Linked DNA regions of Caenorhabditis elegans. The protein of the gene in region 1 interacts with the protein of each later gene in a pairwise test. Each region holds a gene or a part of one and is shown on either strand. Other genes may lie near its edges.

What was found.
Region 2: the proteins of sipa-1 (region 1) and Y37D8A.6 interact in a two-hybrid assay, tested with the Caenorhabditis elegans proteins (one large-scale study listed by BioGRID).
Region 3: the proteins of sipa-1 (region 1) and suca-1 interact in a two-hybrid assay, tested with the Caenorhabditis elegans proteins (one large-scale study listed by BioGRID).
Region 4: the proteins of sipa-1 (region 1) and rack-1 interact in a two-hybrid assay, tested with the Caenorhabditis elegans proteins (one large-scale study listed by BioGRID).

What each region holds. Positions count from the first base shown.
Region 1 is NC_003283.11:11,631,070-11,639,888, reverse strand, and holds sipa-1 (Rap-GAP domain-containing protein), read left to right. Parts: upstream 1-2,597; 5' UTR 2,598-2,682; coding exon 2,683-2,905; intron 2,906-4,516; coding exon 4,517-5,092; intron 5,093-5,202; coding exon 5,203-5,324; intron 5,325-5,371; coding exon 5,372-5,636; intron 5,637-5,683; coding exon 5,684-6,151; intron 6,152-6,209; coding exon 6,210-6,347; intron 6,348-6,396; coding exon 6,397-6,637; intron 6,638-6,715; coding exon 6,716-7,177; intron 7,178-7,221; coding exon 7,222-7,362; intron 7,363-7,421; coding exon 7,422-7,569; intron 7,570-7,616; coding exon 7,617-7,757; intron 7,758-7,948; coding exon 7,949-8,017; 3' UTR 8,018-8,456; downstream 8,457-8,819.
Region 2 is NC_003281.10:12,855,870-12,860,024, forward strand, and holds Y37D8A.6 (LITAF domain-containing protein), read right to left. Parts: upstream 2,043-4,155; 5' UTR 2,028-2,042; coding exon 1,899-2,027; intron 1,425-1,898; coding exon 1,329-1,424; intron 1,257-1,328; coding exon 1,083-1,256; 3' UTR 964-1,082; downstream 1-963. Other genes in the region: Y37D8A.26 (LITAF domain-containing protein), read right to left, coding at 1-148, 767-859.
Region 3 is NC_003284.9:10,896,898-10,902,533, reverse strand, and holds suca-1 (Succinate--CoA ligase [ADP-forming] subunit beta, mitochondrial), read left to right. Parts: upstream 1-2,419; 5' UTR 2,420-2,427; coding exon 2,428-2,711; intron 2,712-2,763; coding exon 2,764-2,854; intron 2,855-3,128; coding exon 3,129-3,353; intron 3,354-3,447; coding exon 3,448-3,663; intron 3,664-3,962; coding exon 3,963-4,290; intron 4,291-4,343; coding exon 4,344-4,507; 3' UTR 4,508-4,856; downstream 4,857-5,636. UniProt on the Caenorhabditis elegans protein: ATP-specific succinyl-CoA synthetase functions in the citric acid cycle (TCA), coupling the hydrolysis of succinyl-CoA to the synthesis of ATP and thus represents the only step of substrate-level phosphorylation in the TCA.
Region 4 is NC_003282.8:10,174,339-10,178,972, forward strand, and holds rack-1 (Small ribosomal subunit protein RACK1), read left to right. Parts: upstream 1-2,341; 5' UTR 2,342-2,371; coding exon 2,372-2,486; intron 2,487-2,534; coding exon 2,535-2,718; intron 2,719-2,761; coding exon 2,762-2,909; intron 2,910-2,961; coding exon 2,962-3,492; 3' UTR 3,493-3,537; downstream 3,538-4,634. Other genes in the region: mspn-1 (Mitochondrial sorting homolog), read left to right, coding at 3,632-3,766, 3,810-3,930, 3,976-4,150, 4,205-4,634.

The DNA.
Region 1 (8,819 bases):
GTGTTTAACTAATAAAACTAATAACGTAATTAAAAACCAAACCCCTTTTGAATTAATCTATTTGCAAAAGTGATGAATCAAATTAATGTCCACCCAAAAATCTTCAAAAACCATTTAAAACCTGGTAATTGTAGAGATTATTTGGAGACTCTCGATGCAGATTCCGGAAAATAAAATATGAAAAGTGACCATTTGAATGATTTTAAATAATCGTACGAACAATTTGTGAAAAAAAGAAAAATAAATTGGAATACTCTTTTTGCTTTGGTCATTTTTACCAGTATTGTCGATTATGGGGTTATTCAAGTAATGTTGCAAAATGTATTTAAATACATTTGTGACGTCACAAATGTATTTAAATATTTTTATATACTTGAATACAGTTGTGACGTAATTTTTCTACATTTTTTAATTTTCCGACACTACTTGAATAACCCCATAAGTGAAAAAGACAACACGTGAGATGTTTTGAGATTTTTTCAAACAATTAGTATATATTTATTTTAATACAATGCTCAAAATAGCAGGTGCTCAAAATAGCCAAATTTCAAAAAAAAAAAGATTTTCAAAAAAAAAAAGAAAGAAAGGTGGCAGGTGTTGTATCTTTCCGGTGCAGAACGAAAATGCTTTCTTTTTTTTTTCCCCGCTCATTTATGTTCTTCTACTGCTTTCTGTCTTTTCTGTTGCTCATTTCAATTAAGCCGAGCCGCCTCTGGATTGAGTGTGCGAAGAAGAGCACATGGCTCCCCGCTTATCAATCTTGCCTATTCTAATCCAATTTTATTTTCTTTATTCCTTTTCTTTTCGACTCTCGTATACATCTACACATTCTACACATCCTCTTTTTTTGTGTTGCTTCCTATTATTATTCGTATCATTATATAGAGCTTTCAGACGTCTTATTCTATTCTTTTCTGGAAAATTGTGTGTGTGTGCCAAAAAAAGAAGAAGGGTCGAGTCTTCTTTCTCTCTTCTTCTTCTAGTATTTCTGCTGTGCCACAGGGTATCGATGTTTACAAAGTAAATGACACACACACACACACACACACACACACACACACACACACACACACACACACACACACACACACACACACATACACATTTTGAAGAGCCCTCTCTTTTTTCCCTCATCTCACTTTCACTTTCCACTCCTTTTCTCCCAGTTTACTTGTCTGCGTCCAGCCACTTTTATCCACTATTTTGCACCTCTCACACGCATAAAAAGTTCAGTTTCAATGTCTTTTTTCCAGTTTCCTACTCTCTTTTTCCGGGGGCACCCCAATATCCTTTCCTCTTTATGTTCCTTCTATCACATCTCTCTACACTGTTTATTAACAAATAGGTGTGAGGGAAAGAAAGAAAAAGAAGAGAAGGAGGAGGAACATGATGATTTCAAACAAAGTTCACATTCATTAAAAAATCAAACATTCATTTTCATTTTTGATACGATCTTTCGATACTGTGTTCTTGAATTTCCCTTCACAAAGTTTGGTAATTTGATTTATTTTAGACACCTACATTATTTGGTAAAGTGGTCGTGGAAGGCACTGTACTCTATTGCTTGAGTCCTAGGCTCCGCCCATATATTGGCCTGTTGAAATTTACAATAAAATTTCAACTTACTGAATCATTTTTTTCTGATTTCCCAACAAAGTTGTTCGCAATTAAAAAAGCCTAAAAATTCCGAAAAATTGCAAATTAAAAACAAATTTGCATGTTTTTGAAGCAATGCACTTTCAGACTGAACATTCAAATATTTGCATAGATTTCACTTGTACATTTCAATTACCAAATATTAGAAAATGTGTTAGTTGATTTTTCTTCTTAAATGATATAACTTGAGAAATACAGTTTTCCGAAATTTCACAAAATCCCGAAAATCCCAAAAAATAGTGAAAATCTCATATTAGATGTCGGAAAATTTTTTCGGGAGGTCTTTAAAAATGTTTATCGAATAAAGTAAAATTTATTTGTACAGTGAACCCAGTAAACGTACTATTTAAATTTATTTTAAATTCTGATGAATGGGATTTCCAACAGATTATTTTTCTGACAATCTTTTTGACAATTTATCTTCAATTCATTCCAAAATTGTGAACTACATACATAGATTTTTGTATCTGGAAGTTGTCCTCCTATTAAAAAGTTTTCTTACAATAACATACCCCGTGCATTACAATTAGTATTGTTTTTCATTAGACATAAATTTTCCCATAGGTATTTCTGAAACTTCTCTTGCCAAATAAAACAGTGCTGAATTTCGTATAGTGATACTTAAAACAACTTCCTTAATTCCCATTAGATATCTTGAAGTTGTTTTTCTTAACTACTTATTATATTGTCTGAAGGAAAAAATTCACGGGCGTCGGAAAACAATGATTTTATCAAAATATTTTCCGTCTATCATTATTATTATTATTATCGGAAAAATTCTTGATTGACTCATTTTTCTTGTCTTTTGCCAGTGTCTTGCAATTCTCAGCATGCTGTATAGAAACATTTAAAAATTTTCTCTCTTGCCATATGTTGATGATTTTTATAACTTATGAATATTTTCATTTGACTTTTTAATCGAAATTTTTCTTTTTTTTTCCAGAGTCTTCGCTCCCTCACTCTTGGCCCCTTGAGCGTTCGTCTCCCCCACAACTCCATCGTTAAATCATAAAATGCGAATGTCCGATGTCGTCGACGACATCGTCGGTGAGATCAGCTAATCGGACACGTTCGCTGTGCCACCATCTACATCATCAACCGCTGCTCGTCTCTGGTTCGTCCACTGGCTCACCACCGATCGGCGGTTCGATGGATGAAGGATCTTCTGCGTCGACTTCTTCGTCGGCGACTGCTCGAGCGCTCGACATGTTCAATCGGCGAGGTTCAGTGCTTGCTGTCGTCATTGCAGGTTTTGTTGTGCTCTTCTTTGCTCACCTCTTGTTATCCCCTGCTTCCAAATTTGATATAATTAATTGGAAAGTGATTTTTACCTGATGGTGTACCCCAACTTTAAAATTCAAAAAAGAAAATAAAGTTTGGGTTTTCTTACCTACTCGCCAGAGTGTCATAACAAATCCATAATAAGTAAATAAGGCGAGGAAGCTCTTTCGTTTGTCCTAATGAATCACCAGAGATCTTGAATAATCACTGTCTGTTATCAGTCACTTTCCAAATTATTTATATCTTATTTGAATCATCAGCTAACCCTCTCTCTCCTCTTTCTCTCCATTTCACATCACATCCGGCCCATTCCCAATGGAAAAGTACTCGTGCTTAATTCCGACTCATTCCCAATTAGCAGTCGGTAACCGTAGGTAACGTGTAGGCGTTGTATACATGTCGAAAACTATCGCATCATTATTATTATTCAATCCCATTTTTCGCTCCTAAAACTTCTTTTTTCGAAGATAAATTAGGTGATTTACGTGAAAGAGAACGGAGATTTCGCGGCGACTGAACACTCCTGCAAGAATATTCCCCATTTATTATTCTAACAGTTTTATTTTGTCCTATGCACATTTTCTTGCAAATCACTTTACTAACTTTTTTTGCACTCGATTCTGCATAATGGGAGACGGTAGTTCCGTCTCCAAGATCTGTAATTATTTAAAACGAGTGAGCAAGTCTCCACGAGGTGATGATTTGATTTGATAGTAGTCGGAAAGTGTGTTGGTAAATGCTTATTTACTTAGAGATTACTCTGAAAATCAGAAGCTCTACCTAGCGATTAAGTAAATAACTATTTGCCGTTGGTGTGCTGTGATTTTGAGTGATTCTGATAAAAATACAAGAGATAGAAGGTGACGTAGTGTTTGATAAGAATCGAAATTCTAAAAAGGCTCCTTACCTGAAAAAAAATATATATATATATAACTGGTCGGTCGTACTGTCCTGAAACATATTTAGCTTAAAAGTAAATCCAGAATTTTTTTTTTAGAAAATTCCATTCTAAGATTGTGCAATATCCCAAAAAAAAATCGTTTTTCGACTTTTCCAAAATGAAAACAAAATTGAATCATAAACTTTTTTCAAAAATAATTTGGAAACAAGTTATAATACAGAATGTTTAGTGACACTCTACACAAGCTTTTATGATGCCTTAAGATACAAAAAATTCACTTTGAAATTTTTCGGTAAATGTCTTTGACTTTGCGGACAATTCAAATTTCTCATATTTTCACATCGGTTCAAACTAGAAAGTCTGCGTTGTCAAACCCAACGTAATTATGTATGTATTTTGAAATAGTCTATAGTTGTAGAAGGTAAACATGTAGAATTGATCTTTCACATTTACTGTTATCACTAATTAAAAATATAATTTTTAGTATAAAAGTTGATCAAAGCTCAATGTTCAATAGCTTGTTTTTTGAAGAAAAACAAGACGATCGGTCAAATTATCGAATTCTCATTTGAGATTTGACTAGTTCAAGTTTTTGTTCTTATCCAACACGAAATCATCGACTGTTATCCTATAATCATTGATCGCTTCTTTGCAAGAAAAACCCAAAAATGTTTATAGGAAATACGGCCGCCGATGTTCTTCCACCAAGCGCAGGAGTCCCAAATACTTCAGCAGTTTCCTCTTCCAGTGGAGTTATCAGTGCGGATCAACCATCATCCACGAATTCAGACAATGATACAGAAACATTTAATGAATGGCGACCACCGTTTCCCCGACTATCAGCATATCAAGATTGTCTATCTCTTGCCGCTGCATGGGGACTTGGTATGCATCCAAATGGTCTTGATGACAAACCAACTGGAGCATCACAAGCACAATCACCAAGTGAAGATGATTCGGGTGATGGGAAATTTAATGAATTGCTTGCCAGTTGTCCAGCATTTAGGAATGAATTGGGCTGGGAACCAACGCGGCGTTTTGCGCTCTCACGACACACATTCGATATGGCTCACACGGATGCGCACGAATGTGAGACGTGGATGCGAGAACATTCAGCATCGGAAGCTGGCATTTTGGAAGACGTCTCCAATGTATATCTCGGAGGAAGATTGTGTGCTGCTAGGCAGCCGAAGACAGTTATTGAACCACAAGACATCGGGTCGTATTACTATCGGCACTGTTTTATCTCAAAAAGTTAGTTGTATACCACGAGGATTTTTTTGAACATTTGAGATGTTATAAACTTTTAAACTAGAAAGACATAATTGATTTGATAGTTGATTCATATTTAAAATGTATTTCAGATCACATCGAATATCTTGGAATGGATGACATCCTTGGCCCCATCAGTATCTCAATGGTACGAGAAATTGTTGATCGGAAGGAATCGTACTCGATTTACAGAATGATTGTTCGAATTTCAGATGTAATTAAATTTTTGCAATTTCTAGCTCAACAATGTTTACATTACAGCAAAAAACAATTCGTGTAGCTGTTCCAGAGGAAGCACTCTCAACTCCAGAAGGATCAGATCGAGCAACTCGTCCTCTAATGCGAGAACTTCTTGAAATTGTGTGCCCGAAAATAAGCTTTGGAATTTTGAGACCATCAATTCAGTCACCGAGAGTTGAAGAGCTCATTATGAAGATTGATGAGCAACCAATTTATACTCGATATAAAGTTGGAATAATGTTGTGTAAAAACGAACAGAGTACCGAAGAACAAATGTATAATAATGGTAAGGAAAATTATTTTTTGAATAATATCGAATCTTGAAATATTCAGAGTTTTCTACACCATCATTCGACGAGTTCCTTGATTTCCTTGGTCAACGGGTTACACTTAAAGGATTTGAAGCTTACAAAGGAGGCCTAGATACACGTGGCGACACTACTGGAACTCATTCAATCTACTCCGAGTATCAAGCTCATGAGATCATGTTCCACGTTTCAACACTACTTCCGTTCACTCCGAGTAACAGGCAACAACTCTCCCGAAAAAGGCACATTGGAAATGATATGGTCACAATCGTATTCCAAGAACCTGGAGCGTTGCCATTCTCACCAATAACTGTGCGTAGTCATTTCCAACATGTGTTCATTATTGTTCGGGTTCACAACGAGTGCTCTGAAAATGTGACATACAGCGTGGCAGTCAGCAGATCAAAAGATGTTCCAGCATTTGGACCGCCCGTTCCAAAAGGAGCATGCTTCAGCAAGTGCGCGGAGTTTCATGATTGGTTATTAACAAAAAGTATGTTTGAAGAATTGTTTAACTTCTAGTTGTTTAATTTAAATTTAATTGATTTTAGTTATCAACGCGGAGAATGCTGTGCATCGGTCAAAAAAGTTTGCTACAATGGCTGCAAGAACTAGACGTGAAGCTCTACGCGACCTAGTCGAAAACTATGTTGGACCTCATCAAAATGAAGGCGCCAGCAAAATAGCCAGTAGGTTACTTACACAGAGGATTTAAAATTGGACAAACCCGATTTTCAGGTCGATTCCTAGGAGGAAGTGTGAAACGAAAAGAACGTCACAATCCAAAGCCAACAAATCACGTGATGCGAGGAGCACTCTCGTGGCTTGTTGATGTACATGATTACTCAACTAATCAGAGAATTAGCTGTGTACTTGGGGTTGCTCAAGATTGGATTGTACTTCTCGAAAGGCCATCTGGCACTGTATTGTTTTCGACTCCAACTCATTCAATTATAGGATGGGCAACCAGTGACACTGGGTAAGAAGACTTCTTTAATATTTTTTCGCAAATTCAGTTAAAAATAAAATCATTGTTTATTTATTGAACATTTTTCAGACTGAAACTCTATTATGATCATGGAGACCAACTGCTTCTTCGTTGCTACTCTGAAACTTGTACCGACTCAGAGCTCAACGAGTTGATCCGTCGTCTTGAAAATGTCACAAAAGGCGATGAAGCAAAGGAAGTTGTGCTTCGAAGGTTAAAGACAACAGATAATTGGGGATTCCATGTTCAAGATGAAGGAGTTGTTACTGATGTTGAAATGTATCAATTGGCTTGGAAAGCAGGAATTCGCCAAGGAAGTCGTATTGTTGAAATGGATTCAATGCCAATCAGTACTTTATCATTTGATAAGATTTGCGATCAGTTGGCTGTTTCTGAATGTGTTCGTTTGCTTATGATTTCTCCATCATCGGATGGAAGCCCCCGTCGTGGATGTGAAGATCCAAATTGTCCAGCTGTAAAGGGAATCGAACAGATGCTGACTCCAGATGCATTCGCCAAGCAGCCAATTACGTGAGTTTTTAGGCGCGTTACAAGGTTTTCATCGCGTGTGGCAGCAGGTACCACGAGATGTTCCGTCAGAAGAAGCTCGAGTACCCGACGAATAGCGCGAGCAGCAGTCCGGCATCATCTTTCGACGAACGCACTTTCAGTTTCACAGCCACCAAAAAGACCATTGAACAGCGAGCCAACAATATGTGAGCCTTGATCTACTATCCACTTTAATGTAAGAACCTATTACTAAACAATGAAATAGATTCAGATCAAACAATCGTCCGAACACGTTGTCGAGTGCTAGCGTCCATGACAACATGTGCACGTTACTGAATCCTCCAAAATATCTCAACAGAGCTCAGTCTGATGAACAACTTCGATCTCCGCTTATGGACGAGCTTAATCGAAAAGTTAGTTTCAGAACTTTAGGAATTTGGAGGAAACAGTTGACTTTTAGGCACCACTCTCCGCACGCGAATCTACAAATGAGAGAGAATCGAGTGAACTTGTTAGAATTCAAACTCATTTGGAACGTACTGTTCAGGAAAAGCGGGCACTTGAAATGCTCGCACAACAACTTAAAAAGCAACTTATTCAGGTTTGCGATTTTGCTATACCGTTTATTATTATATCATCTGGCTATATCTGAATTTCATCCAATTTGGGAGTATAGGAAATATTTGAATGCCTACAAGACAACATCTGAACCGATTTTCATGCGATTTTCATTTTTCTATAGACTTCTCCAATAATTTAAGAATTTCTGGTAGAAATCGGTTTTAATTCCAGGAGCGCCAGTCGCATGACAACACAAAACGAGAAATGGAACGCCTGAAAAAGATGTACGAGAAAAAGTAATTTCAATTTAATTTCTAACCTTTTTTGTGATAGTTGGTTGTGAGCTAGTTCATTTTTCTAATATAAATTCTGTCATTCTTTCCATTATTTCTTTCCCTTTTTCCTCTGATCTCGTCTTGACCTTTTTTGTCATTATCATGTATCATTCTTATTGTGATCAACTGTTTCTCTTCATCCCAGTTCTAGTTAAAGTGTGTTCTTGAGCCTCCCCCTGCCCATGAGCTCCAGTGCCAACCCTTTCTTCATTCACTCATTTATCAAAAATTATTTCTTTTTATTTTCAAATTTAACTGTAAAAAATGTGTTTTCCCAACTCTTCAAAATGTTCATTACCCAATTAATCAGCCAGTTTTTTTTTTCCGATTTCCATCCGATATGTGTTAAGATTTGATACATCTTGTCATTTTTGTACTGTATCAGTGAACTTTTCATTTTTTGAATATTCCCTTGTACTGCAACACGCCCAAAAAGCATTAGATGTGAAATTGGAACTTCACGACGAAGACCGAAAGTATTTCGCAACCCATTTTCTGTGTTTACATCTTATAAACCGAATTAGATGAGCTAATTGGTTGAATAATTTAGACCGGGCACAAAAGTACGGGATGAGCATGAAGATGGGAACCGACCCGCTTTTCGGCTTTCCGGGAAATGACGCCAGTTTCAAGGAAGTGTGTGGAGTCAGCTTAGAGTGTGAGAGGCCTCAGATCTTATTTCGACGCGTATAGGTGATCAAAAATTGTGTTTCGCGTTTACGAAATGAAGAGTTAGTATTCGTAATGTACTTTCTCAAGAATCTTAT
Region 2 (4,155 bases), on another chromosome or scaffold:
ACTTGTTGCAATTGGGACATCTATGGTGAACATCCATGAAGCAGCGACACCAGAAGCAAACGATAAAACAGGGAAGAAAAAGGCAGGTGATGAATAGAGCAAAGTTCAGCATTCCAAATACTTGCTCGGTTTTTGTAGTCACGGTTTCCTGGAATAGAAGATTCATTTTTAGATTCATATTTTTAAATACCAGGAATTTTTGGAAATTTTAATTTTTCAAAACTGTTTTAAAACTTTGCGCCCAAAACTCGAATTCTACAATATTACGCTTAGGCTTAGACATAGGCTTAGGCTTAAGCTCAGGCTTAGGCTTATGATCAGGCTGAGGCTTAGGCTCATGGTTAAGTTTAGGCCTAGGCTTAGGCTTGGCGTCAGTGGCGAGCGTTAGCTACGCTATTTAGGCTTGGTTGGGCTTAGGCTTAGTCTCAGTCTTAGGCTTAGGCTTAGGCTTAGGTTCAAGCTTAGGCTTAGGCTTAGGCTCATGGTTAAGTTTAGGCCTAGGCTTGGGCTTGTGAAAAAATTTTAGCGCAAAAATCAAATTATAATTTTTGGAAAATTTTTGTGGCGAAGATCAATTTTTGAAACAAGTTTGGCAGTAAATTCTAGTTATGATTTTTCGAAAAAAAAATGTTGGCGCGAAATTAAATTTTTAATTTTCTCAGAAAACCTGACGCAATAAAACCAATTTGAGTTTTTTTTTTTGCAAAATTCTTCCAGAAAATTGAAAAATTTTTTGGAAATTTTTGAAATATAATATTTTACCTACCTGGCAATTTGTGCAAAATTCGAGATATGGCGTTTTATGAACCACATATTTAACTTCTTCTGATTTTGGAGCACAGCTGTTCACATTGAGCATTTGGAAAAATGAAAATTTTGGAGAAGGAAATTGTGAAATTTACGAGCTCCAGAAGCTCAATTTTATGCCTTTTTTGCTGCAGAAACAATAAAAACTAAAAAAAAAACCAAATGAAATTTTCATTGAAAAATTTCAAAAAATAATTGGAGATTTGGTATTTGGATTCAACGGGATTCAATGGGGAAGACAGAATTTACAGATTTCAGAATTTTTTGGGAAAAAATTATCTTCTCTTATAAGAGAGAATAGTTCCACAATTTGGACATGAATGTCTCGAATCTTTGAATCCGTCAAGGCAGAAGCAGCACAGAAGTGGGAAGAACACGAAGAGCCCAAGGAAGAGCATTGTCCATGAGCAGAAGCCCATTGTACGCTCGACTCTGGTGCATACATTTGTCTGAAATTTTTTTGGATTGTTTTGGGGGAATTGGAGTCGAAAAAAATTTTTTTTTAGTTTTTAGGAACTCACATTACAACGAGGACAGAACTCGGTGTACGGCTCGAAGGATGGAGCCATTTTTGTGCCGACGATGATAATTTCCTGCGGTTGTTGAACCACATAGACCTGTAAAAATTCAGAATTCAAGTTTTAAACTTACCCGAATTTCATTGAAAATTTCAGAGATTTTTTTTCGGAATTTTTTTCAACTGTACATAATTATATTTATAGATTTATTTTTTTAAAAGAATTTTTGATTTTTCGGAAAATCGAGAAATCTAATAGTAAATAAAAATTTTCAGAAATAGACAAAAAAATTCAATTTTTATCGAATTTTGTTTATGTTGACACGGGATTCTGCCCTTCCTCATTGAATTTTTTGCGCTCCATTGACAAGCCGGACAACGCGTGGGAAAGTCGTGTACTTTTTTTTTCAAACCTAATTATATTTCGAAAATTGAAAATTTTTCCACCTTGTTCCAGTTTTATGTACCTAGTTAAGGCGCAATTTTTGACTCGAAATAAATTTTGGAAAAATTCCAATTAAAAAAAAATTATAATTCTGAAATTTGGCCATTTCAGCACCATATCTCAACTAACCGGTCCCTGTCCCGGTCCCTGTTGTGGCATTTGTGTTGGTGGATAAATAATTGTTGGTGGCGGCTGCTGTGCTTCAGCGTATGCTGGTGGAGCCTGTGGATATGGTGGAGCTGCGCCCTTGGAGTCCATTGTATATTTGATTGACTGAAAAATTGAAAATGCGGAAAGCTTAAAGTTCAGAGAATATAGCAAAAAAATGGCACATGGGATAAGTTGAAGGGCATGTGAACTTTTACTAGTGACAAATTTTCGATCACCATATGGCGAGTGAGTCAGTGGACAATCTCTGAGGAATTATAGCATAGGAAGAGAAATTTATATCGATAATTGTTTGAAAAAATCTCATGAGCGCAAGCCTAAGTCTAGGCCTAAGCCACAGCCTAAGCCTCAGTCTCAGACCATGCCTGAGAATGAACCTAAGCCTCAGCCTGAACATGGGCCTGATTGTGAGCTTAAGCCTAAGCCTAAGCCTAAGACTAAGCAAAAGCCTAAGCTTGGAATAAACAATTTTCTGAATTTTTTCAAAAGTTGTATTACTATAATTGGTTGATTTAGCACTATAAGAACCGAGAAAAAATTAAGCTACACTAGAAAAAAATTTAAGCTACTCTACCCAAAGCCTAAGCCTAACCCAAACCCTAATACTAAGCCTAAATCTAAGCCTAAGCCTCGGCCTCAGACTATGACTAAACCTAACCCTAGGCCTAAGCCTAAGACCAAGCCTAAGCCTAAGCCTAAAACGAAAGAAATATAAATTTTCCAAAACAAAAGTAAAAAATTAAGCTGTCAACTCCGTCACTTGCAAGCGTCAAACTCAGAAGAAACATCTGGTTAACACAAACTTTTTGATTCTAGAAAAATGTCAGGTTCCAATAATATCAAAATGACAGAGAGAAAGGCACTGACTTTGAGTTGTGAGAACTCAAGTTTTGAAAAACCTTCCGGCGCGTGTCCCCCATGGCAACCGACGTACGCCTTATAATATCTGATATCATACTGGTAACCAGCCAACTGATTAAATTATACATTTCTCTCTCACCTTTTTTTTTTGTTTTTGACAACTTGTCAAAAGCAAAAGTGAGCTTCGGGGAAAATGGGGAAATATTGAAAGGAGGCAGAGAAGCTAGAAAATGTCCTGCCTTCCTTCCTGCCTGCCTAAAAATGCCTACTATAGCTGGACAATATACACAACATTTGAATTCTAAGTTGTCAATTTCGTGCAAAGAATTGATGAAGCTGAAATGAGCGGCTCATTATTCCGGAATTTTTTTTAATTGTGTATATTTTTGAAAAAAAAATTTCCTCTGAATTTTTAGGATATTGGTAACTTCTGCAATCTTTTTAATTAATTAAAGAAATTTTTAAATTTTTTTAAAATTTTTTCAATTTAGCAAAAAATAGAATAAATAAGAAAATTATTTTTGAATTCCCGCGCAAATGAATTACCTAATATTGCAATTTTCCTAGTAAATTACCCCTGCAGTACTTCTACAGTACCCCTACAGTACTCCTACAGTACCAGTATAGACTAGAAAAATGACAAATGACAGATAAACCGTAATGACCATTTTTTTAATAATTTTTTTTGCCAATTTCGCAAAAAAATGGAATAAATGAGATAATTTTTTGAATTCCCGCGCAAATGAATTACCTAAGTTTGACATATTCCAGCTATTTTTGATTAGGATTTATCCGATTTTTCCTTCCGGAAAAAATTTGCTAAAAATCAATGGTTTCACATGAATTTATATATTTTTTTGCAGGGAAACTGCCTGAAAAATTTCAAAACTATTATAGGTAATTCATTTGCGCGGGAATTCAAAAATCAATATATATTTTTTATTTGTGCAAAATTTTTTTAACAGTTATACTCGGTAAATACAGATAGAAAATAGACCGTAATTACCGAATATAGCTGTTAAAAAATTTAAAAAATTAACATTTTTCAATTTTCTGTTAAATTCTGAATTTTAAAAACAATTATACGTTTTTTGATGTACACATAGAAAAGTTTTGTTTGGAAAAATGTTTAAAGTGATAGAAATTACTTCAATTTTCAACTAAAAAAGTTGTTTCGTACACACTCAACACGTCATATTTGTCGCCTACATTGAAGTTGCAATTGTCAAGGTCGATCAAAAAATACAAACAAAAAAGCGCGGTGAAGTTAAAGATCATAGGAAAATATATGTAAAAAAATAAAAAATGTGTTTAAAATTGTTCAAAAGTCCACTGATTTTCGATTGTTTTAGTCCGT
Region 3 (5,636 bases), on another chromosome or scaffold:
CAAAAAGTGGGAAACAATCGAAAATAATAATAGAAAATAATCAAAGTTTACCATAAACTTCAAAAAAAAGTATAATATATTTATTTTATGAATTCACCGATTGTTGCCTTATTTTCTCTGTTGTTCGTATATTTTGCAAACTTTATGAAGACACCCAGTTTAAAAGAATTGAATGTTTTTTGAAATTTACGACTGTTTCCGATAAGTTACTCGTTTCAGACAGTTTAATTAAATCTTCAATTTTGCCAAATGCTTATTTGGATTACGTACTTATTAGTTTTTTTCTCGGATAAACAAGGAAAATACCTAGTTTGGAGTATAAATAATTTTTTAAACGTTAAATTTTTAGTAAATGTTTCGTAGATGAATTTTTGTCCCTCATAATGCTTGACGGTCGTCTTTTTTCAAGAATTACAAAAATCACATTAAAAGTTGAAAATAGGTTTTTAAAATATACAAAAAGATCATGACAAACACAATGATACAGACATCACATTAGATTTTTGACTATACAACGTGTTATCTGATAAGAACATGGAATTCAAGTTGCGTAGCTGCAGCAAACATTAGTGGCATGACGTTTTACTGGAAAGATAACCTTCCATGTTACTGCGACTAGTTTCAAATTTGGTGCTTAATGACCACGTGAGACTTTGTTGCGTGTTTTTATTTTGGTGGCTATGTTTTTCAAAAAATTTACCTGTCTGACAAATAGTAACAAACACATGGTAACTGATCAACCGTATTTATAAGATTTTAGAATTTTCAACAAAGTTAATTTTCTTTATAGAATAATTATTATAGTCACTGTTTTTACTGTGGTTGTATAATGTCGTTCTAAAATAAAAATAAAAAACTGTTCTGCTGAGTTCAGTAATAAAACTTTGTATTCATTTATACGTTTTCATGTTTTCGACGTTTTCATTTTTGTTTTCGTTTCCACGTTACGTTCCACGTTGTCACCTTTGTAGATGTAGAGATGATTTTGGTGCCTGCTCTGGCTGAAATTGAAGAGTGGTGTATTTTTGATCCATTACATTTCAAGAAAACATGTAAACTTTAAGAGACTTTAATCTATACATGTACATTGCCAGACAGTAATACTTTTTCAAAGATCAGTAAATACCCAATTGAATCAAACGAAGAAATATGACGTCTTTCTATCCACCCACTTATCCAATGCAAGACTCTGTCTATTCTCTCTCATTTTTTCTCACCCAGAGCGAAAAAATGCCTTTTGGTTTTCCAACTCTACGCTCATTTTCTTCTTCATACTCAACATCCTATCTGTTTGGCGGGAAGAGAGTCAAAGAAAAAAGGGAAATAGAGTTGTGTGTCTCACGTTGGAACGGCATGCAAGAAGGACACAACAACGCTGCACACTACACGCAGATGGGTCCTCTCTCTCTCGTCTTTCCCTCTGACAATTCCATTGATCCATCGTTGTCTGTCTCTATGTCCCGGGGAAACATAGAGAAGAAGAGAAAACCTTCTTGTTTCCTCGTTTACCCCTACTGATAATTTCATCCAACTCAACCTTTTTTCCTCTCGTTGGCCCCTCTTGTTTTGATGTGACATGGATGCACGGAGCTTGATTGCATCCAATTGTTATCAATATTACTTTAGTTTATTTTATATGTGATTATGGGAGTAGTTATTTTAAGAGGCCGAATTCCTTTTTTTATGTGAAATCTCGTGGGTTTCCCAATTTGAAATTAATGTTTTTGGCTAGTACGCTGTTCCAGTTTTTTGTTTAAATTAACATTTATTCCAACTGATCATGCATTTGAAAATACGAATATAAAACAAAATCTTTGATATTCCTGATCCCTCGGCAGTCTGAAATTTGAATTCCTATCTTTGTTTTTTTAGGAAAACCTTACAAGTAGCCTCTGATCGAATCCGCCATTTATTTATTATCAGTTCCCTTTCTGTTTGCACTTTTCCTGTCTTCACCTCCTCCGATACTTTGTACCTTATCTTTTCTGCGAACAATCTATTCTCCACTTTTTGCCCAACCACAACCACGTTGCTGGCCGACGATCTTTGAGAGACAGCGTATGTCCATCTTTCTGCCTCTACCGTTTCTAGACATATTTTAAAGCTTTTTGTTCAATTTTTGGTTTTCGACGGTTTTAAATCATTTCATATACCTTTTCTCAGATGTAGTAGATATTTTCTGTCTAGGTATCACCTCATTGCCACCCTCTCATTCTTGCATTGAATGCGCGTAGCCTCTTGTGCAAAGGAGAGGGCAAAGTCCGCAATGTGTCGTAGCGTCCCGTGTGTGCACACAACTGTTTGTGTTGTTGTCTTCACTTTTATCCTATTTCCATCCCTATTCAGTTTTCATTCTTTTCTATTAATTTTCTACTTTTAGGTTATTCGCCAGTTTCAGAGAAATCATTATATTTTTCAGGAAAAAAAATGATTGGAAGAATCAGTCAGCCGCTCCTCAACACCTCACAGAAATTCATGGCGCCGGCCGCCAGAACACTTATGCTCCATGAGCATCACGGAATGAAGATTCTGCAGAATTATGAGATCAAGGTGCCACCATTCGGAGTTGCTCAGGATGCCGAAACCGCTTTCAGTGAGGCTAAAAGAATCGGTGGAAAGGATTACGTCGTCAAGGCTCAAGTTCTTGCTGGAGGACGTGGAAAAGGAAGGTTCTCGTCCGGACTTCAGGGAGGAGTACAAATTGTCTTCACGTAAGTAGCCATTCCATTCAAATGTTTAAATTGTCAAATATGTTAATTTCAGCCCAGATGAGGTGAAACAAAAGGCTGGAATGATGATTGGAGCTAACCTGATCACCAAACAAACGGATCATCGTGGAAAGAAGTGTGAAGAGGTACAGCTAAAAAATTCAAGCTGAGTGATAATGTCGTGAGACGCTACACAATTCGATACAAGTTAATTCTTGTAGCTCAGCTGTTTTTCGAGACAAACAAGTTTTGATGAATTCGTACACACTGTGCAAAAAATCTAAAAAATGCAGATGAGCCATATCTAAAAATTAGATGAATAGGAATTGAAAAAAAAACTTCACTGCCGTACAAAAGATAAATCACATTTAATATATTCATTTTTAGTTAAACCGATAAAAATATAAATGAATGTTTTAGGTGATGGTTTGCAAACGCCTGTTCACCCGCCGTGAATACTACTTCTCCATAACTCTTGACAGAAATACCAATGGACCAATTGTTATTGCTTCTTCCCAAGGAGGAGTTAACATTGAAGAAGTTGCCGCCACCAATCCAGATGCCATCGTGAAGATGCCAATTGATGTCAACGTCGGAATCACTAAAGAGCTTGCTCACGAGATCGCCGTTAAGATGGGATTCTCGGTACGTTATTCAACGTTGGATTATATGAACACGTAGTGCAAACCTAAATATAAATATGCCCCAGGTTATATTCAAAAATACTTTAAATTTTCAGAAGGACTGTGAACAACAAGCTTCTGAAATCATTGAGAAGCTCTACCAGATGTTCAAGGGATCCGACGCTACTCTTGTCGAAATCAACCCAATGGCCGAGGATGTGAACGGAGATGTCTACTGCATGGACTGCAAGCTCCTTCTTGACTCCAATGCAGAATTCCGTCAAGCCAAGCTTTTCGATCTTAAGGATAAGAAGCAAGAGGACGAGCTCGAGGTAAAATAAGAGTCGTATTCAATTGAATTGAATGGCTGGCGGAGAAAACGGAATTCCCTTAGGAATTGCGCAGATAAAAGCAATAGTGCATATTTTCCCTTTTCGGATAACATTAAAAACACTCATTGCCAAATTGAACTTAGCAAGTGAAATTCAGCTATTCAAATATTGAAGAGCAGATCTGAAGCTAATTTTTTTAACGCCAGTAACCAAATATTGCTGGAAACTTTTATACATGTAAACTTGTCGTTAAACATTTGAAACTTGTACAAACGTAGTTTTTATGAACCATCGTTTAGATCCGCGCCGCCGCTGCCAACCTCAACTACATTCGTCTTGATGGAACCATCGGATGCATGGTCAACGGAGCTGGACTCGCCATGGCCACCATGGACATTATCAAGTTGCACGGAGGAGAACCAGCCAACTTCCTCGACGTTGGAGGTGGTGCCACCGTTGAACAAGTCACTGAAGCTTTCAAGATCATCACCGCTGACAAGGACAAGGTCTCAGCCATTTTGGTGAACATCTTTGGAGGAATCATGAGATGCGATGTCATTGCTCAGGGAATTATTCAAGCTGCCAGAGAGTTGGACCTCAAGATCCCAATTGTTGTCAGATTGCAAGGTTTGTGGAAACTGCTCAAATTATTTTTTTAAACATAATTTTTATTTATTTAGGAACAAAGGTTGAAGACGCCAAGGCTTTGATTGCCACCTCCCAACTCAGAATTCTTCCATGCGATAACCTCGACGAAGCCGCCAAGATGGTTGTCAAGCTTTCCAACATTGTTGATCTCGCTCGTGCCACCAACGTCGATGTCAAATTCGAGCTTTCCATCTAAAAAAGTACACATTTACTTTGAATTTAATTTTCTCCGGTATGAAAATGTTACTTTCAATTACAATTTCATTTTCCATTTTACTGTAACATTTACCTATCCAATCTCTCACGTAAATAATGTCACTGGAATTTTCAATTATTCCTAGTCATTGCAAAGCAGTTTTTTTGCTTTCTTTCTTAAAAGTGTTTGGTAGATTTTAATGTTTTTAACGAGTACGCTATTAGTTTTTTTTTTACTTCGTTCCCCGTTTTTATTTTATTGTTCTCTTATGAACGTTCTTCTCTTCATTGCTTTCTTTGTAGCTCACACAATCAGTCTTCTCATTTTGTCCAATAAACCTTTGTCCGACATTCTATAGACTGATGACTAACTTTGATCATTTCTGCATCGAGACCGTGTGATGATGAAATCATGTCTCATCTCCCACGTGGTAATAAAATTAAGATAATGTGAAGAGAGGAATCCGGTTGCCTGGTCGCCGAGTTGAGGTATCATAAAAGTTTAGTGCCCAATTCTGATCTATGCCGCACCTTAGTCTGATGTTTTATCTCGTTTTCTTCCGCATCAATTATAGAGCTGTAAAGTCGGTATGAATATCAAAGAAACAAAGAACCAATAATACAAGATCAGTTGTTAAACTTACTCACAATAAAAAGGATGACGGTGGTTTTTGAGATTTAATTTTTTTAAACAATGCCACTTATTTAAAATAAAAGTTTTAACTATTTACGATTTTATTTGTAGCTTTTTAATGTTTTCATATGTATTACTAGAAAACTGAAACCAGAGTATTCACAAAAATTTATAAATCGAAAATTAATCACAGCAACAGATAGGTTGAGACCATACAATGCTCATATACTGCTAGAAGTCGATTCTTGCGCAAGTGCCGTATGGTACTGATTTCCTATAGTTGTAAAGGGGCATGTATAATTTTTAAGATAACATTCAAATATTTTGTGTTTGTTCTAGTTGAGTGTGTTTCAAAGACATTTTACAGGAAACCTTTTAAGCACTTAAAATGCCCTATCAGTCTTTAATGCTAAGAGTCAGACTTTAGCATCTTGTTTCTTGGTTGTTTTCTTCTCTGGGAAACTTACAATGTTTAAAACATGTTGTAATGTTTTGT
Region 4 (4,634 bases), on another chromosome or scaffold:
CCTATAAATATAAAATATCTAGATTGTTAGTTTTTTCGAAGGAAAAATATAAAAAATAAAATTTCGGGAACCATAGTAAGGCAAAAAGTACAAAATGTAAATTTTTTCGTTGAACAGAAGCCATGTGGTCTTCCATTCAGATTAAGACGGCAAAGAGAGAGTAAGCGAAAGAGGACGAGCGTTCAGATAATCTCATAAATCAGCATGTAATGGGGTGAATGGGGCGGAGAAGGAGGAGCTCGGATGCTTCTTTTGTGTTTATTTATGTGAATAGAGAGGTAGAAGAATATGTATATATTCATCCCCAAGAGATGTTAGAGGATTTGCAGATTACTTTTAGATTATTAATGAAGATATGAGAATATAAGAGACGAAAAGTACATGAATACAACAATTTTTCTAAAAAATCACGAAGGCACTATCAACTAACTGATTACTCCTTACAATGATGATATTTAACAATTTTTGCAACAATCTAGAAGTACCGCATGACAATACCAATTGAAAATTGTTAATTGTTAAAATGGGAGTCACATATAAAAGAAAAACTAGGACATTTGTAGTGAAAATGTACAGCTAGAAGGCATAACTTCTGCCACTCCCGTTCTTAATCAAAAATTAGCCTCGATTAGTGTCTTTATGAAAGTTTCGATTGTTCTGATCATCTACAACTGAAAAAAGGGTCCCATCCAGTCAGTTACCACCAATTGAATTACAAAGTGATAATGATGTCGTCGTGTGCCGATAACAACGTCTAATCTCTATTACTATCAGAGGTTGATTATAAACAATCAGGGGCACTAGACACAGGAAAGAAAAGGATGCAAAAGTTGTGAAGAAGGGAATCAAAGTCTGAGGGGGGGGGGGGCGATTAAACGGGCGGATAGTGAATGCGGCGGCCGCACACACACATAGGGACGGGCATTTGGAGGAATGTGACTAGGAACAACACAGAGGCGAAGAGGACAAGAAATAAATCGGACAGTCTGTGTAGAGGCAAGAAATTGGAGGAGGAAAAGGCGAGGGACGGTGCGGAAAAGCACCGCCAAACCACTGCGAACCGATCAATAATACAACGGAAGGTGCTGCGAAGAAATAAGAGAGGAACGGAAAGTTGAGACGCAGGTTGATTGGGTTAAAGATTGCACTGATTGCAGAGAAGACAGAGAATCGAGTGAAGATTGGCTCAGGAAAGAGTTGATTGTTGACATTCCCATTGGAAAAAAACAGATATCGAAAAAATGTCTAGGAGCAAAAAAATATTTTTCATTATGGGAATTGTTGTGATGTTATTGCTATTGCAAGGTTCTGTTGTTGTATTGAAAGTCAGCTAAAAAATGGGGAATTATTGAAAATATATTGTATTCAAAAATTCTTCAAAATAAAAATGACTTTTTTGAATGAAAAAAAAACTTTAAAATAGTGATGTTGGCATATCAACGTAAAATTTAAGATGAGAAGGTATTAAACATTATAAGGAAACAACTCGAAGATTTTCAAGCACATACCAAAGTTTTCACGGACAATTGGCCAATTTCTACAAGAAGTCAACATTTTTGTCGCTTCGTCAATTTGAAACCCATAAAAGCATGACTAAGCTGACAGGAATTCCACGAAAAAGCAATAGATATGCGCAAAGAACTAGTCTCGTCAGATTTTTCTGGCAATATCTCATGCAGTAATCTTAATATGTCTTGCACACATGCAACCCCGGATGCTGAAATGTTAAACTTTAAAATTCGAGCTCGACACGATGAATTTGAATGGATGGAGAATAATTAGAACTAAACCCACATTACATTGATTTTAATGTAAAAACTAAAGTATTTTTGCTTTTAAATGAGAAAATAATAATTTTTCGAAGAAATCAAACCAGTTTTCAGAAATATTAATTTTAAGGCTCAAATAAATGGCTCGCTAAACTCGAAAACAACTGTCACAATAAAAGCTAAACATAAATAATTGAATAAATAAATAAGTAAATTTAAAAAAGTGTCAAAAACTGCTTCATAGATGCAAATTTACAAGAAAAAGTTAATTTGTTCCGTAAATTCGTTAGTTGGCAAAGTGCCAGGTTAAAGGCGCATAGACTTTCGCTGTGGGGTCTCGCAGCGACTCACCCCTTCTCCTCTGCTGCTGGCTGGCTAGTTTGACGCGAATTTTTAGGACGATTTTTCCTTTTTTCTGTATTTTTCTGTTAAAGCAATGATTTTTTCAACATTTTCAACATTTAATAATTAAAGTGGCTATGTTTTTAACATAATTCGAACAAAATTATGGTTTTCGTTCGCTCTATTCTCCAAAATTTTCATTTTTTTATATGGAACATTTTTATTTTTAGCAGATCGAACGGGGTTACACAGATAGCAAAATGGTCCAAGAGCAAATGAAGCTTACCGGAACCCTCGAGGGTCACACCGGATGGGTTACCCAAATCGCCACCTACACCCGCAACGACAAGACCACTGTCCTGTCATCTTCCCGCGGTAAGTCAATTAATATAACGTTTTCAAATTTATACTCACATTTTTCAGACAAGACTATCCTTGTTTGGGATGTCGACAGCGTTGCTCCAGTCGATGAGGGACCAATCGGTCGCCCAGTTCGTTCGCTCACTGGACATAACCACTTCGTCTCTGACGTTGTCATCTCCTCCGACGGACAATTCGCTCTTTCTGGATCCTGGGACAAGACCCTCCGCCTCTGGGACCTCAACCAGTAAGTAATTCAATAAAAAAACATTGTGCAAACAATTTTATAGGGGAGTGAGCACCCGTCAATTCATCTCCCACACCAAGGATGTTCTCTCTGTTGCCTTCTCTGCTGACAACAGACAAATCGTCTCTGGATCCCGCGACAAGTCCATCAAGCTGTGGAACACTCTTGCCCAGTGCAAGTACACCATCACTGTACGTTTTTTCAAATTCTTTTATAGGAAGATTTATCGAAACTATTGTTTAGGATGATTGCCACACCGATTGGGTTTCCACCGTTCGTTTCTCTCCATCGAACCGCGATCCAGTGATCGTCTCCGCAGGATGGGACAAGGTTGTCAAGGTCTGGAACCTCGGAAACTGCCGTCTGAAGACCAACCACATCGGTCACACCGGATACGTCAACACCGTTACCGTCTCTCCAGATGGTTCCCTCTGTGCTTCCGGAGGCAAAGACGGACAAGCTATGCTTTGGGACCTCAACGAGGGCAAGCACTTGTACACCCTTCCAGGAAACGACGTCATCAACGCCATGTCCTTCTCTCCAAACAGATACTGGCTCTGCGCCGCTGTCGGATCTTCCATCAAGATCTGGGATCTCGAGGACAAGAAGGAGATCGAGGAGCTCAAGCCAGAAATCGCCAGCTCTGGAAGCTCAAGAGGATCCAGCCCACAGTGTATCTCTTTGGCCTGGTCTCAAGACGGACAAACCCTCTTCGCCGGATACACCGATAACATCATCCGAGTGTACCAGGTGTCGATCCGTGCTTCCAACTAATTTGTTACCTGTTAATTCAAAACCCTTCAATAAAATTGTTGATATAATTTTGTATTCAACCATGTCAGATAAATTATTCGCGTTAATCAAGAATATCTAGCAGATGATAAAACAGCAAGGTATACTTGTTATGTTAGAGATGACGGATCGTAATGAGTTGATCGGTGTTGCAATTCGAGTAGTGGCGGCGGCTGCAGTTTCATTTCTATCAGTGCGCTATCTAGTCAAGTACTTGGATCCAAATTATAGTGTGAATGAAGAAAGCAAAAAGAAGGTTTGTAGATTTACAACACTAATTTTGTTTTTTTAATATACAGGTGGCACAGCTGTTTCATGAACTTGGTATCGATCGTCAAATAGAACTCTCAGAGCACGAAATTAGAATCGCCACGCAGTTTGTTGGCGGAGAAGACGTTGGAGCAGATTGGGATGAGATCGGTAGAACAGAAAATTGTTTCGCAAAAAAAAAGAAAAATTTTACAGGTGGCTGCGAAGAACTTGTTGCTGAACTAAAGGATCGCATTATTTTACCCTTGAGATTCGCATCGCAAAGTGGAAGTCATTTATTGTCTCCTCCACGTGGAATTCTTCTTTATGGACCACCCGGATGTGGAAAAACTCTTTTAGCGAAAGCAGTTGCAAGGGCAGCTGGATGCCGGTTAGTTATTCATAAATGCAGAATTGACCTGTTTTAAATATTGCTACCTTTCAGATTTATCAATCTTCAAGTGTCAAACCTAACTGATAAATGGTACGGAGAGTCTCAAAAACTTGCGGCCGCTGTTTTCTCTGTTGCTCAAAAGTTTCAACCAACAATTATTTTCATTGATGAAATTGATTCGTTCCTCCGAGACAGACAATCTCATGATCACGAATCAACAGCAATGATGAAGGCACAATTCATGACATTATGGGATGGATTTTCTAGTTCTGGAGATCAAATCATTGTTATGGGAGCTACAAATCGTCCACGAGACGTTGATGCTGCTATTCTACGCAGAATGACTGCAAGATTCCAAGTTCCAGTACCAAATGCCAAGCAAAGAAGTCAGATTCTTAATGTGATTCTCAGGAATGAAAAGATCAATAATACTGTAAATCTCGGAGAAATCGCACAGGCAGCAGAAGGTCTTAGTGGAAGT